2 linked regions of the Lytechinus pictus genome follow. The main gene of each other region encodes a partner of the protein of the gene in region 2 in a complex. Links are inferred from orthologs where the notes say so. Each region holds a gene or a part of one and is shown on either strand. Other genes may lie near its edges. The genes, in order: lipid droplet-regulating VLDL assembly factor AUP1-like and ubiquitin-conjugating enzyme E2 G2-like.

The links.
Region 1: the proteins of ubiquitin-conjugating enzyme E2 G2-like (region 2) and lipid droplet-regulating VLDL assembly factor AUP1-like are in contact, whole or in part, in a crystal structure (PDB 7LEW), measured with the Homo sapiens proteins. The link is inferred for Lytechinus pictus from reciprocal best matches to the Homo sapiens genes UBE2G2 and AUP1. Residues at the interface, in NP_003334.2 of Homo sapiens: Tyr13, Thr17, Pro20, Gly23, Ile24, Val25, Ala26, Gly27, Pro28, Met29, Asn30, Glu31, Glu38, Leu40, Met42, Glu45, Glu50, Phe51, Val53, Pro55, Lys156, Val159, Gln160, Ser162, Leu163, Leu165; in NP_853553.1 of Homo sapiens: Ser379, Arg382, Gln383, Leu386, Arg389, Lys390, Leu393, Tyr394, Tyr396, Ala397, Arg398, Arg400, Phe401, Thr402.

Annotation. Positions count from the first base shown.
Region 1 is NC_087256.1:4,941,555-4,945,484, reverse strand, and holds the start of lipid droplet-regulating VLDL assembly factor AUP1-like, read right to left. Parts: upstream 3,000-3,930; 5' UTR 2,773-2,999; intron 2,738-2,772; exon of another isoform or gene 2,634-2,737; intron 2,002-2,633; 5' UTR 1,901-2,001; coding exon 1,863-1,900; intron 1,029-1,862; coding exon 891-1,028; intron 1-890. UniProt on the Homo sapiens protein: Plays a role in the translocation of terminally misfolded proteins from the endoplasmic reticulum lumen to the cytoplasm and their degradation by the proteasome. Plays a role in lipid droplet formation. Induces lipid droplet clustering.
Region 2 is NC_087245.1:12,249,776-12,253,705, reverse strand, and holds the start of ubiquitin-conjugating enzyme E2 G2-like, read right to left. Parts: upstream 2,727-3,930; 5' UTR 2,466-2,726; coding exon 2,423-2,465; intron 1,248-2,422; coding exon 1,166-1,247; intron 1-1,165. UniProt on the Homo sapiens protein: Accepts ubiquitin from the E1 complex and catalyzes its covalent attachment to other proteins. In vitro catalyzes 'Lys-48'-linked polyubiquitination. Involved in endoplasmic reticulum-associated degradation (ERAD).

The sequences.
Region 1 (3,930 bases), on a different chromosome or scaffold from region 2:
GTTCAATCACATAACTTTTGAAAAAACCACTAAAAGAATTTTACACTTGAAGTTAAAAAGGGGAATCCAACCCAAATAAAAACTTGTTTTTATAAGAAAAAGAAAAATCAGACAAGTTGATAGGTGAAAGTTTGAACAATATTGGACAAACAACAAGAAAGTTATGAATTTTTAAAAGTTGTAAATATTGGTAATCACTATACCCATGGAGACTTCAAATTGGCCGCATATGGGATGTCATAGTGATGTAAGGCAAGGACTACTCTTCCATGTACTCCAATACATATCATGGCTAAAATGTCATTTTTCCCAAAAGTTTTATTTCAAATTATATTTTTCTTTCATGCGGACATAAAACAATATACTACCTGGGTTATATTTAGATTACTGCCCCAGGGAAATGGGTACTTTGGAGAAAACCACAAATCCCTGATAATAAAGTACATGGCCTATGGGAAAGTTGTCCTTGCCCCTTGTCATACTTTACTTACCCAGTTGCCAATTTGAAATCTACATAGTATTAGTGATCTCAATTTTAAAGCAGCTATAACTTTCTTATTGCTTGTCCGATTTCTTTCAAACTTTCACCATTCTGTTTAATTTATTTTTCTCCTTCCAAACACATCATTCAATGGCCAAGGCTGGATTCCCCTTTAATGTGAATATTAATTTTTCAAAATGGTAGAGCGATGGAAAATTAAATGTATTGTTCTTCACTTTATAGTTGGCAAAAAATTATTTCTGTCAATCCAAATTTATTTCAGAAAACTTTTAAGAAGTAAAATACTAATGTTGCAAATTCAAAGAAGAATAGTTTATCTTAAAAGGCTTCAAATAATGTCCTGCAATTAATGAAATAAAACCAATTTTCTTGGGAAGAGATTAAATACCTTCTAAAGGGCACTTGGATAGGAAGAATACAAGCAATGATGAAAACGTGTAAACCAATGAAGAGCCTTAGAACTGCTAGGATAAGACCAAGAGGAAAATACAAGGCCAGGATAACAGCTGTCTTGCTGTCCCCTATCCTGCAACAAAAATAAAGAACAATAAAATGAATTACTCATTGGCTATTTAGCTATCTGATTTCCATCTAGGCTTTTTACAATGATCACCCACTCTCTGTGGCTAATGCAGTGGCATATATATTTACTATCTGCAAATCACATCCCTTTCACTTTTTCATGTTATACCATAATATAATATTATACCATAATAATATCATAATCATAATCATATCATAATAATATATCATAACACACATGTACAGGTAAGTGCACAAATGATACCCTTATCATGACATCGCTCATGTTTGTGGGCTAATCCTGAGACATTGGCTTACCTTTTGGGACCATAGAAAGCTAATAAACTGAAGAGAAAATTGACTTAGAAAAGACCTACAACGCATGCTTTGCATAAATTGGTCTTTAAAAGTTTGCTGAGAAATGGGAAAACTTCAGCATCCGTTTTTGTATTCCGCTTGTAAAATCATCACTTCATGAAAAAGTACAAACAAAACAAGAAAACAAGAAGAAGAGAAAGGTAAAAATTAGAAATATCATATTTAGAAATGGAAAGCAGAATATTAAACATCAAATGTGGAACAAAGAAAATCAAAGTAAACTCAAACTGATTAAAAAAAATTTTTTTTTTCCTTGAAGCAGGACCACCTCTATCGCCTCCAAATTGCCTATTTATTTTGAGAACTAATATTTTTTCATCCAAGACCAAGTAAATTCTTCAAATAGCCAAAAAGCAAGGTAAAAAATTGACTTTTCAGTCTTAAAAACCTTCCAAAGTTTCGATATCTGACTGACATGTGATCATGGTGATCCTAATCCACTTTATACTAAAAACCTTACCTTTGTGGACTGAAAAGCTGGGCCATTTCAACCACCATCTTAAGCTTTCACTTGGCTAATCACTGAGAAACAACTGCGAGTAGTACAACCTCGGCTCTGGATGAGTGAGTAGAACCACCTTTCCTTGTCCTCGAAAGTCCTGAAATTAGAGAAAAAATTGGTTTAACATGTTTAATTTGAAAATTCATAGGCAATCACTACTAGATTTTATACTTTCATATTGAGTTTAGAATACCAAGGGCAAGGCTGCTCATGTAATAAGGGATAAAGCATCCATTCTTTGAAGGACATGAAGGAGGGGTTTAGTCAGGTACTAATAGTACTACTAACCTCGCAATACGTGTGAGTGGGGTTGAGTTAACAAAGTCAAAGGCAAAGCCAAAAAATTTGAGCAATGAATAACTTGGATCGGACTTAGCAAGATTCAAGACAAGAAAGATACTATCTACATTAAATCCTGATGTTGTCGAAACTAATCCAAACTGGCATTATCCTGGTTTAAGTCACCAGTCCATTCACTGCCGTTTATTTTATTTCGTCAGCACTACCAGTCCACTACTCACTAGTGACTTCTTTCCACTCCCATTGACTTTGTACACCACGAGTGCACACGATGACACATGACACACGAGAAGAGAGGTGACTAATTTCACGATAAGGCCTCTAAACTAGTTTAAACAACATCTTAAGGTTAAGCTGGTCTAGAAGCTTTTGAAAAGTAAAATTAACTTGCTACTGCGAAGTTATAGAATAGAGAGCAACCTCACTCACGTCACGTTGTTAATACTCAAGTTTTACATTTCAGTCCCATACATTCAAAGTTACGTTTGGTAAAGTAAATCAATACAATAGTAGGCGTACGAATATTTACAACTGGATTGTCACTTCTAATATTTCTTGTAAATCTCACCCTTTGTATAATGCTTAATATGAATGATTCGGTCCATACGAGGTATTCAGGAATTAAATGTGTTCATTTATTGCAATGGTATTCGACTGCCTTCCTGCGCTGTTCTGATCAACAAACAAGGCCAAGCAAGGGCACGAATTTTCTTTTGACTTTACTTCAGATCAGCCAAAGATAGTTGCGCCAGCAAAACTCGTGTATGGTGTCCGTCAGGTGTCAAGTAGTAATATGAAAAGAACATATAATTGGCATCCTTGAATATGATCCAAAACTTGTACTCTTTTCCCCATTTCATTTATGTAGGTTATCTATTTATTCATCTGTTTGTTTATTTATGTATGTCTCTTAATTATCATTTCTCTTTATATTTTTGGAGGGAACATTAGAGTTTCACTTCAAGGGAGAAAAATAAAGATAAGGAAGGGGAAATGGTGAAATATGAATATCATTTTCCGGAAGTTACATTTGTGCATTTAATCTATCACAGTTTTTTTTTGGCACATAAGCCTTGCCTGGCTCCCTTCAAATGCTTGCCTCATTACGTCACTGAGGAGACTCGGAAATTGCACTGTGACAAGTTATAAGCCTACCCCCGCGCCCTTCCCACTGTAGGAACAAATGGAGCATTCAAGTCGCTCCGAGTATTTAAAAACAAATTTATTGGGTATCAAATATAGTTAAAATTCAATGCGAAGGACTATAATTATTTATGAAACGTATTCATTTTATTGAAATAACCTTACATTCTAAAAAGACAAGTCCATCCCCATCAAATAGTTGATTTAAATAATAGAGAAAAATCCAACAAGCAGGGGTGTGGGAAGGAAGACTTGTGGGTCATGGTAATTTAGTTAACCTTTTCCAAACCAAGGCAGCCCCTTTATCTCTATTCCAGGTCATTTGTACTATGTCACGTATGTCCTAATGTTTATGTAATTTGTATTGTACTGTAATTTATATATTTTGAAATGCCGAATAAATAATAATAATGATAACGAAAATGTCATCAAAATCCAAAATTGGGTGGAAAATAAGAAAGTTATGACATATTTCACAATGCACACCATTGTCGGTATGCAAATGAGGGGTGTGATGACGTCACCCACTCACTACCTATTTTGTATTTTATTATACTAAATGTTCTAATACTATATTTTCTCC
Region 2 (3,930 bases):
ACGAGTTCTACATGTAGCCTCAACCAAAATGGTGGCTCAGTGGTAGCAGGCCCATTAAAGGACTAGTCAAAAGTAAAAAGACAAAAATCTAGCGAGCATAACACTGAAAATTTCATCAAAATCGGATGTAAAATAAGAAAGTTATGATAATTTAAAGTTTTGCTGACTTTCCTGGTCGGTATGCAAATGAGGAGACCGATGATGTCATCCACTCATTACTTCCTTTGTATTTATGAAATATGAAATATTCTTATTTTCTCCTCATTGTCAAGTAAAACAATGTTGAATTCCTCCCTGAAAATGTGGAATTAGCATTGTTTAATACTATATGGTTAAGTCAAAGATGGTCCATATTGTCAAATATGTATAAAATGAAATATTGTATCATTCAAACAATAAAAAAAAGAAATAGTGAGTGAAAGACATCATCGACTGTCTCATTTGAATGTCACTTAATTGTGCATATCACTGTTTTTTTAAATATAAGCGAAAATTTAAAATGTCGTAACTTTCTTATTTTAACATCCAATTTTGATGAAATTTTCAGCGTTATGCCAGTTTGATTTTTCTCTATTTATTCAAATTAAAATTACTCTGGGTGGACTTGACCTTTAATTAAAAATAATAATAATTGAAGAGTATTTTGTAATACTGGTAAAAAATAATGCCCCATATTCCCCCACCAACCAATTCTGTATTCGTGGAATTGCCCCTGATGGCTTTGAAAAAGTTCAATGTTGATTCATTTAAAGTACGATAGTGAGTCAATGATTTACATGTAGTTTCAACTCTGCAATCATCTCATCTCCATCACCTCCATCTTTCTTCATATTCCAAATATTCAAATGTATGTTATCAATATCCCATCCTGCTTTATAACATTGTATTTTTGTTGTGATGGTTTAAAAATCTTTAGTAACAACAGTAGTTCTTTTACTACAGAATACTTGCATGTACGTTTGGTAATTTAGCTGGGAATAATTAGAGGTTCGCATTTACCATTCATTGTCAACAAGATAATTCATTACAAGTTTTTGTTTGTTATATCATAGAACAATATTCTACTAATATTCTGAATGCGAAAGAAAATAATCAAATACATGTAAAAATCATGAAAGCAGACTTTATGTGACAAAGCAAAGAATAGATTTTAGAAAATACTCACGTAATCAGAGCCTCCCATTCGAAGAAATTTTTTTCATCGACAGGGCCTGCTATAATACCCTCTGGAGGGTTCACTGTTAGCTCTGTTCATGACATAAAATAAAACATTAAACTACATAACTTATTGTCTGCATGCAGTTTAAATTTATAACTTTTTCAGTTGATAATTGGAGTAACTTTACAATCCAATGTCATAATCGATTATTAGAGCATCACACACACGATACATTCACGACATTATTATATCACATGACAATGGATTCTAAACGTAAAGTGAAAAAGTAATTGAATTTCAAAGAAATTTATGATTATGCCCTAATCTTAAGTTAAAGGTCACAGGTGAGCAAACATGTCCCCGCCCCGGGGGGGGGGGGGGGGGGGGGGCACTCAGTATATAATGCATAGTGGGTATGTGCCGCGGAGGGGACCCCCATTTTTACACTCAAATTTCCGTTCCCAGGCATAGCATTTTTGTCTTATTGAGAAAAAGAACAAAGAAAGCCGCTCCAAGGCATAGCATTTCCTTCTTATCGAGAAAAAAGAAGAAAGAAATCCGCTCCAAAGCTTCGCATATTTTTCGTTACGCCGTTCCGGTCGCATTGATCTGCTACAATTTTGGTGAAAAGCGGCCGTAGAGCGCTTTTCGACCATCGCCTAAGCGCGAGCGCACCCGGCGGAGGCCGCGCTAGCTGCGTCATGCACGATTGCCCGTTCCATAGGGATGCATACGCACTCACAGAGATACGGAGATCCGTTCCGATGACCCCCGTTTTCACAAACATTTGTAGTTCCGAAGCCCGTTCCGAGGACCCTCCTTTTTACAATAAACCCGCTCCAAGGCCCCCGTTTTTTGCATCGCCCGTGGCACACCCCTACCACTTTTTTGGTCGAGTGCCCCCCCCCGGGGCCCCCGCTCAGCTGGCGACCACCACCAAAAATTTTGTCTTCTGATTTTTTGACTAATTTCATAATTTTGTTTGTCTATTTTACATGTATTATTCACCATTTTTGTATGTTCTCACATGTTGCCGTTTCATTTATATTTGTAATGCTGGTGGAAAGAAAATTTCCATGAACTTGGACTACAATAAATACGAACTTAAGAACTTTATCAAGACACAATCGAATCACAAACACGGGAATCTACGAATGGGGCACACGCAATAATTGCAATATGCCACACATAAATAAAGATCGAGTTATCAGTTAAAATAATACAAATTTAAGCCTTCAAATATAATTTATGAGTTATACCCACGTTTATATTCAGCCATTAATCTCTTCAGTGCAGCTCCGGCCATATTCAGTTCTAATTATTCTCTCAAAATATGCCCGTTTTTTGACACGTCAATTGCGGGTCAATTGCACTGACATTGACAAACCAAGGAGATGAAACCCAACTAGGCCCAACAAATGTTTATTTCAGGAAGGTAGCCGTGAGAGATTTATTTGCAAAGCAAAAATGAGAGGCGATTTCGTGAACTGATGCAACTAGTACTGACACATGTAAAGAGATAAAAACAAATCTCTCCATCATCATCTCTATCACTCAGAAATGAATTAAAGTTTATTTTATAAATGGTCTGACATTATATATATATTTAGATTTTTATTGAAGCAAATCAACCAAATAACAAAAAAATTATAATATTTGAATGTCCTTCCCTCCCTTAAAAAAATTAAGAAAGAAACAAGAAAAAATAAAAAAATCTTAGCATAATAGGTCTGGATCAGCTGAAAATTCGAAGTATAGTGTGCACAAATTATTTTAATCCGTTCTATCATGGATATCGTGATCTTGATTCCATTATTATCTCTAACAAAAATGATTTACTTTTTTTTTACTGCTGTGAAATGTGCAAAGTGCCGACCGAAACTACTGCCGAGCAATTTTAGATTTATTTAAAAGGATGGTCCGGGCTGAAAATAGTTAATTTAAATAAATAGAGTAAAATTCACAAATCAAAATGATAAAAATTTCATCGAAATCGGATAACAAATAACGAAGTTATTGAATTTTAAAGTTTATCAATATTTTGTGAAAACAGTTATATGCACATCGTCATGAATATTCATAAGGTGGGCTGATGATGTCATATCCCCACTTTCCTTTTTCTTATGTTATTACATGAAATCATAATTGTTTCATTTTTCATTCATGTGTAAATGATATTATGATGAAATAAGTTGCAGTAATGCACTTAATCAGTTGTCAATCCAATTGTTTTAGTTCTTGGTAGAAAAAAAATAAACCTAATTTCATATACCAAAATAAAAAGAACAAGTGGGGATATGGCATCATCCGTCCGCCTAATGAATATTCATGAAGACATGCCTAGAACTGTTTCACCGGAATAATGCAAATAACTTCGTTATTTGTTATCCGAAAAAGTTTTGATCAAATTTTCAGCATTTTGCTTTGTGAATTTTACTCTATTTATTGAGATATAAATATCTCAAGTCTGTAGTCAGTAGCGGATCCAGGAAGGGGGGGGGGGGGGGGCACATCCGGCCCGTGTCCCCCTTCTCTATGATGTGAATATGCCATTTTTACCAAAGTGCCATTTTTACCAAAAGGTCCTTTTAAATAAGGACCTTTTTGTCAAAATTTTTATTGGGGAAATGTGCCCCCTCCCCCTTTGGAAAATCCTGGATCCGCCCCTGTTTAACACCGTCCAGAAAGGAGAGCCCCTTTGCATCTTTTATTAAATCACTCCTAGAGTGACATATAGGTAAAAGTTTTCTCAGAGTGCCTCGATTTCGAAG